2 linked regions of the Coturnix japonica genome follow. The protein of the gene in region 1 binds, or shares a complex with, the protein of each later gene. Links are inferred from orthologs where the notes say so. Each region holds a gene or a part of one and is shown in the gene's direction. Other genes may lie near its edges. The genes, in order: RAB3GAP2 and RAB3GAP1.

Region 1 (2,808 bases):
CTGAGGGGCAAAATAACCAGAAGTACCATTATACTTCTGGGTCATCAGCTTAATTCCAAATAGTAATTGGGTTATACAAGACGAGGAAGGCGTATGTGCTTATCTGCAAGAAGAGCTCTAATGCTGTGTTTGTTCTTTTATATAGGACCCCCAGGAACTTCAAAACGTGCAAGTGCCAATTGCTACAACAGCTAAACTGGTGAACAGAGTAATAGAGCACTTACCAGAGAATCATGGGCAATATAGCCTGGCTTTGAATCTGATAGAGGCCGTAGAAGCCATCTCATCATGACGTTCTTCCTTAGAACGGTTCTGCTACGTAGTGCTACAGTGCATGATTTTACACACCAAGGCTGACATTTACAGAAAGAAACTTTTGTGTGGCTTTTGTTGAACGAGAAGAACAACGTTCCCCACCCCACAGCTCCAGCAGGTAATTTTAAATTGGAGTGTATCTTAAATTCTGCACTAGTACAGAGATGTTTAGTTTCTAGTACACTTGTCAGTATCTGAACCGCTTAGTTATTTATTTGACTTGAGCGCTTCTTGCAGTAGTCTGAATTGGGTATATTTGACAGCAGTTTTAGTCAACAAAATCATGTCTTGTGATATTTTTTGTATTTCACGCTAGCAATAACTGCTGTAGTTACAATGTTCCATGTATCATTTATCTAAAGAAGCTGCAGAATTAAATCTGAGGAAAAACTTCAAGTCTTTTAAGTTATCCTGTGATGCTGGTGCTGCTTTTCCAGAAGCTAGAATTGGTGTTGGGCTCCTGTCTGCTAACTGCACACAGATGACAGTGGGTGCACTAGAAGTAGAATGGAACATGCCTTACACAAAGGGAGAAGAGCCCATGTTAGAATCAGCTGGGAAGGGAGAGAGAACCACATCCCCAGACACAAATATGGACCTGTTTTCATCCAGTTTTAGCCTCTCAGCATTGTCTCTAGGAGGGTGTGCTGGGCTTCAGCTAAAACTGGATTTACATCCCTATCCTTTATTATTAAGCTCTGCTGAGTTTCCGTAGGTCTGTATGTACTGTAAGGTTGTTCCCTGTTCTACCACTGTAGAAGATGTAGTATGCTCTAAGTCTCTGCACGTGTTAACTCGTCAAAACTTGCTTCAATAGTTGTCCAACTTCACTGAAGATCTTCAGTTCTGAGTACCTTAGCCTTAAAAAACAACCCAACAAAACCGTTATATTGACAGTTCCTACAGGGAATCATGTAGTGAATATCTTCACTACCAGAGTGGTGTTACAAATGATTATCTTACATCACTTAATAGTTTTCCTTCTACTTAAAGGGAAGCCAGGAAAGGAAAATAGCGTTGTTGTAGGCTGTTTTGCCTTGAAGTCAGCTGAAGTTACTCCATCTTGTATCCTGCAAGAAACCTTCATAGCATTCTATACTGTTACAGGCAGAATTTGGTCTTACCTTTCTGGTGTATGCGCTGCTGTCATCTTAGGTTGGACTCCCCCTGAAAACTGCTTGGTAGGTGGTTAGCTCTGTAAGATGGGCAGCTGTTCAGCATCCCCAGTTGCTGACCTCTGCACTTTAATGTAGATGATGAAGGCTTCCTGACAAGATTTGATGCAGTGTTTGACTTCCTTTATGAGGTTGCATGAGTAAGAGGCCGGTGCTGCTCTGTGTAGAAGTGAAACAGGTGTAGGGGAATAATGCCAGAAGGCAAGGCTGGACAGTGCCTGTATTGCCTTGCCTGGCAGCACTTCAGCTGTCTGCACAAACAGACAGGCCTGAGAATCAGTCCTGAAACCTGAGGAGAAGCAAAATCATTTCTTAGTTTGCATTACATTCCTGTATCCTGGTACAGTTGTGTAAAGGACCTCACTGTAACTAAATATCACGCCAGAGCTGACACTCTACACCAATCAAATCTGTAATGTATTGTAAGTAATATTCTGTATATAGTGCTATTTTGTGTCTAATTTGCTGTGGATTTGTGTAAATTGATTAAATAAAATTTGAGGAGGTTTCAATGTGTTTTTTTTCCTTCTTTGTGGTGCTGCTTTTTGTTTGAAGAGGAGATGCTCTGAAGGACTGTTTCTTTGGGTTCTGCCATCCTATTTCCTGCCCATATGAAATGAGCAGTAAGGCTGCTCAGTGTAGATGTATATAGTATAACTGTATATAACAAGTATAACTGCACTTAGAGAAGATGGGTTACTAAAACAAGTAAATCAGTTGTGGGTTTTTTTTTTTTCCTTTTTGAACCATCATTTTTATTAAGCAGAAAATTCATATACACAGTTGAATATATACATATAGCTCCACCCAAAGCACATAAATTCTGCTCTGGCTGGGGAGGGGATGGGGGTGGGTTCAGCAGCAGTGGTTCCAAGAGCTGTTGGTTCACCACTGCTTTTACGCCTTTCAGTTACTTAGTACATTGGAGCAGCCTGTGTGTAGGCACTCGATCCTCATGTGCTTCCTTTTCCAGAGATGACTTTGAGGCAGCGGGGGCAAGGAGTGCTTGAGGAATCTGAAGTGTACCTCCTGCAGCGAGGGCATTTGGCTTTGGTGGTGGGTAGGGCTATGACTGTATAGGAAGATTCTTCACGAATATCTCCACCTGTTAAAGAAAAACCTTGCTGAGGTTATCTACACGCAGGTGTAGTTAATGTATTCAATCCCATGGATGAAGGGAGCAATCAAACAGGTTACAGTGCAGTAATAAGTAAATATGGCTTAGCAGAGAAGCAGACCTGGACTGGTTTTCTTACCTTCTAGGTTAATCAGAAAGTTTCCTTTGACAATGTTTGCATCTGCAGGTGTTTCTTTAGGT
Region 2 (4,395 bases), on another chromosome or scaffold:
GACCCAACACTTGGCTCAGCTGATTAATCAGTGGTTCAGGCTGTGATTACCAATTTTGCAAACAACTCAGTTTAAAAAAATACAGACAAAACTGTCAGATATGTGTACAAATACACTGAAATGAATATGCATTTAAAGATACATGAATGATAGCCTAGAAGTCATTAGAGTTACATGGGGTTACTGAATGCTAGAGAGAAAGATCATGAAGTCCTTAATGGAAAACTCCTTAATAATGTGCCTAATATGAATTATGTGTGTGGACTTTTTCCATCTAGAGGTAAAAAACACTTTCAGCATTCATTATACATTTTATTACAAGTTATTCCTAACAGGTACTATCGCTGGCAATGGTTTGGGTTTGTTTGCTTATTTGTTTAGCTCATAAATACCCATTTTTAGTCATAAATGCCTTTTTTCCCTTGCACTTCAGCTCAGGGCTCTCAGTGGAGCTACTAATGGGAAAGCAGCCCAGTGTTACAGTGCAGCCAGTGGTAAGATGTAAGCAACAGATGGCAGGTACCAACTCTGTCCTTCAGAGTCCTTCAGGATTGGATTTGTATTTCCAAGTCGTGACAGAGCTCAGTGGAAACAAATGGCCCATGTAGCTCCTGCTGGATTTAGTATTTCGCCACTTACTGCTGGTCAGCAAAAGAACGTGGCCTTTGTTTCTCATTCCATCAGCAATAAGTACACAACAAGCCGTCAGCATACGGCAGCCTTCCCAAGAGACTCATCCGTTTACCCCAGATTAAATTAATCATAACAATTCTACATGTCACCACCCTACATGAGAGAGAAATATTGCTAACACCAAACAGTGCTGCACCCTGACATCGGGCAGTGCTGCCATTGGAGGTTTATAACAGAGGAAGCAGAAGAGAACCAAGATCAGGGACAACCGATATTGTGTGGAACTGCAGTGGAAAGCAGCACTTTTGATTTCTCCTTATGCTAAACAGCAGATAGCCCATCAGAAGGGCGATTATATGAGCCTGTTAAGGGTTATACGCTGAACTTTGCCAGACTTTCCCATTTTTTTGTATATATAGATATATATATTTAATTCAAAATAACAGCTGAACAAGTTCTCAGCTAGCCCTTACCGTGTGTTTCAGCAGCGAAGTGTGGCAGAGGCACAGATTCCACACACACCAACGTGCCGGTGGCGGCGGGGCAGCGGGCTCGGACCTCGTCTCTGTCCCTATCTCTGTTCCTTATCTCTGTTCCTATCTCTATCCCTGTCCCTATCCCTCTCTGTCCCTGTAGCTGTCCCAGCGGCTCGGCCGTTCCGCCGCGCTTCGTTTACACCGCGTTGCCAAGGCACCACAGCCCTCTCCCTTCTCTTTCAATGCTTCCTTTACCTCTACGTCATTTTCCCTTTACAGCCAACACCTCAGCGCTCACTATGGCCGGTACATTCTCATTAATTACTCTCCGTCCCTTTGCAGGCAGCCTTAAGGATTACGTTATTTATTTGTGTTATTTATGACGGAGAAATAGCATGAAGCGCGCACTGGGGTCGAGGCGCTGTGTGAGGAACCCGCCCATCCCGCGCAGCTTCCCGTCAGCCCTTGTGCATGGGGCGGGACGCAGGGCAAGATGGCGGCGGATAGTGAAGTGAGTTGTTTGTGTCCCCCCATCCCGTCCATCCCCAGGTCTCCCTCTCATTGCTTCTCTTGCTTCTCCCTCTCAATGCTTCTCCCTCTCAATGCTTCTCCCGCTCTCTCCCCGCAGCCCGAGTCGGAGGTGTTCGAGATCACGGACTTCACCACCGCCTCCGAGTGGGAGAGGTACGTGCTGCCGCCGGGCTGTGGCCGGCCCTGCGTTTACATAAACAAGTCCATTTTCCAGTGAGAATATCTATGATAGAAAAAGATTTTAAGGCCTGTGTTTAAATTTGAATTTAGATTACGTGTCTAATGTGGTTTTTATTTTTCTCTAAGCAGTGAAGCAGGATTCTGTTTTGTTGCAGTACCAGACAAACGTATAACATCAGTCTCAGTTCTTCCACTCATGTTGTCTTAATGTATGATCATACCTTGATCTGAATTAAACCCTGTGTTGGCCATAACTGGGACATTTTAATTTTAGCTGGTCGTACTTGAAACTCTTCGCAAAACCAATAAGTGGGGGTGAGGGAAGGGTGAGTAGGGGAGACAGAAAGTGTGTTCCTCTATGTTAGAAATTACCTTTTTGAGGAAAAAATCATGCTTGAAGTGTAACTGGAGCATTCAGCAGTGAAGCAGTTGGGCTCGTGGATCCCCAGAGGTCCCTTCCATCCTACAGTTGTGTGATTCTGTGAAAATGGGAGAGACTTTATAAACACTCAACACGTGTTCATTGCTAAACATAAGGCTTATCTGGGATGTGAAACTAAAAGCACCGCTTTGTTTGTACAGGGAAGCAGGCTATTTTTGTTGTGGTCCTTGGTATGTTACTGTTCTTTTTGCTTTGTTTTAAAGGAGTTCCCCAGTAGGACTACTTGTTGCCTGCTTTTGGGAGTTGAATTTACAACACGAGCTGAGCGAGCAATCAGGAAATATTAATACCTTTTTCCCTCCTTAATAGATTTATTTCAAAAATAGAAGAAGTGTTGAATGACTGGAAACTTATCGGGATTTCTTCAGGCAAACCTCTGGAAAAGGTCAGTTGGTCGGTTAGGGCTTCTATGGTGGTGATGGGCAGAGTAGAGGATGCATGTGCTTTAGATGTGCAGTTTCATGTGAAGGAAATATTTAACTCTTCATTGCCTAATAGCGCCGAGGACTTCTGTACTCGAAATAAAAGCAATTAACATAGATTTTAGCATTCCGCTAACTTTAAGTGCTTTGAGAATTATCTTCGTAGTAAACCATGACTAGCTGTAAAAAAAAAAGGAGAGAAAGGGGAACAAATATTAACCTGAATTTATGTGATCAAGTAATAGCTTTGCTTGTTGCTTTTGCTATTTCCAATCTGCAGGGTGTATACACCACAGGAACCTGGGAGGAGAAATCAGATGAAATTTCATTTGCAGACTTCAAATTCTCAGTTACACATCATTATCTTGTGCAAGAACCTGGAGACAGAGATGGGAGAGAAGAAGGTGTAGAAGGTAGCTGACAGTATTCTTTTGTGCCTGAAATGTGTCACAGGTGTTGTAAGGATATGACAGAAGACAATTTCAGAGTGCTGATTTGCATCTGTGTGAAATCTGGGGGGGGGATCTGATGGGCTGGACTTGACATTTCTGATTTTTACTACATCTTACTGTGAACAAATTGCTAAAGAAGTAAACTTCTGGTTATAGGGATGCTGATGGTCTTAGGTGTCACATCTTTTTGCAGATGCCCTTCCTCTGCCTATGCAGGACTTGCTCTGCATGAACAATGACTTTCCTCCTCGAGCTCACTGTCTAGTAAGATGGTATGTATGCTGCCTTTCTTCTTTAACACAGAGAAGCATAGCAATAGATTGTTTTTAGGTTTAATTACAGTTCTTACTAACCGTAGTAAGAAACTCAGGACTGGTACACCTGGAAAATCCTCCTAACATTCAGTAGTGTTTGAGCATTGTTGAATTCCTGTAGTGCTGTGATGATCTACAGTACTGCATTCCCAGTCAGATCTTGGCCTCTGTGAAGAAGTGACACACAGCAAAATAAGAGTCATATCCTGTTGGTGACAGTTGGATTATTCAGGTTATAACGTTTCTGACAATTCTGTGTTAGAGCTGGTTTATTGGAGCACACAGATATATTGCCTTTTCCCTGCTCTTTCTCTAAGGTACGGCTTACGTGAGTTTGTGGTTATTGCTCCAGCTGCAAATAGTGATGCGGTTCTTAGTGAATCAAAATGTAACCTGCTGCTGAGTTCTGTCTCTATTGCTTTGGGCAACACTGGCTGGTAGGTGAAAGCATGAACTTTTTTATATGCTCAGGTGAAACTAGCGTACTATTTATGTAGTTCTTCATTTCATTAGGAAGAAGTTTTTAGTTGTTAGTGAATTACATTGTGTTTCTTGCATTTGCACCATAATGCTGTTACAAAAAGCCTTTTAAATATCTCATCACTGTGACAATATAAATACTGATTCAGTATGTTATTTTTATTCACTGTTGTATGGAAATCTCAAAAGCTTGTCATCAGTGAATCTTTGCATTTGTGTTTCTCGTGACAATTTTCAGGCTTTTTTCTCTTTAATGATGAAGTTAAGAATATTTTTCTGTGATTCATATTAAGCATTTTGAACTGTGTTGTCCTAAGAAAAAACATATTCTAAAAAATAGGGTGTTTAAAAGGCTATGAGATGGCAGAGATAATCCCAAATGTGGATGTTTTACAGCCAGGTGCCACTGTTTGTGCAAATACATCAGAAGTGGCGACGCATGTATGTTGGAGAGTGTCAGGGTCC

Evidence for each region.
Region 2: the proteins of RAB3GAP2 (region 1) and RAB3GAP1 are in contact, whole or in part, in a cryo-EM structure (PDB 8VYB), measured with the Homo sapiens proteins. The link is inferred for Coturnix japonica from reciprocal best matches to the Homo sapiens genes RAB3GAP2 and RAB3GAP1. Residues at the interface, in NP_036546.2 of Homo sapiens: Arg197, His198, Pro199, Gly200, Ser276, Pro277, Phe278, Asp279, Met281, Lys282, Ser285, Asn286, Ile287, Gly289, Phe290, Asn291, Ala292, Ile294, Arg377, Phe378, Gly379, Leu380, Pro381, Asp382, Arg385, Cys395, Thr397, Leu398, Arg407, Arg415; in NP_036365.1 of Homo sapiens: Thr19, Ser21, Trp23, Glu24, Glu142, Ser143, Asn146, Leu147, Leu149, Ser150, Ser153, Ile154, Ile169, His170, Trp173, Arg174, Met176, Arg187, Asp189, Glu191, Met192, Val193, His194, Leu195, Arg196, Pro199, Tyr202, Ile211, Ser214, Lys215.

What each region holds. Positions count from the first base shown.
Region 1 is NC_029518.1:16,360,364-16,363,171, forward strand, and holds the end of RAB3GAP2 (rab3 GTPase-activating protein non-catalytic subunit), read left to right. Parts: intron 1-145; coding exon 146-292; 3' UTR 293-2,006; downstream 2,007-2,808. Other genes in the region: IARS2 (isoleucine--tRNA ligase, mitochondrial), read right to left, coding at 2,444-2,595, 2,747-2,808. UniProt on the Homo sapiens protein: Regulatory subunit of the Rab3 GTPase-activating (Rab3GAP) complex composed of RAB3GAP1 and RAB3GAP2, which has GTPase-activating protein (GAP) activity towards various Rab3 subfamily members (RAB3A, RAB3B, RAB3C and RAB3D), RAB5A and RAB43, and guanine nucleotide exchange factor (GEF) activity towards RAB18.
Region 2 is NC_029522.1:27,696,698-27,701,092, forward strand, and holds the start of RAB3GAP1 (rab3 GTPase-activating protein catalytic subunit), read left to right. Parts: upstream 1-1,509; 5' UTR 1,510-1,602; coding exon 1,603-1,620; intron 1,621-1,737; coding exon 1,738-1,793; intron 1,794-2,192; coding exon of another isoform or gene 2,193-2,212; exon of another isoform or gene 2,213-2,538; intron 2,539-2,571; coding exon 2,572-2,647; intron 2,648-2,964; coding exon 2,965-3,097; intron 3,098-3,329; coding exon 3,330-3,408; intron 3,409-3,767; coding exon 3,768-3,887; intron 3,888-4,326; coding exon 4,327-4,395. Other genes in the region: MAP3K19 (mitogen-activated protein kinase kinase kinase 19), read right to left, coding at 2,193-2,212. UniProt on the Homo sapiens protein: Catalytic subunit of the Rab3 GTPase-activating (Rab3GAP) complex composed of RAB3GAP1 and RAB3GAP2, which has GTPase-activating protein (GAP) activity towards various Rab3 subfamily members (RAB3A, RAB3B, RAB3C and RAB3D), RAB5A and RAB43, and guanine nucleotide exchange factor (GEF) activity towards RAB18.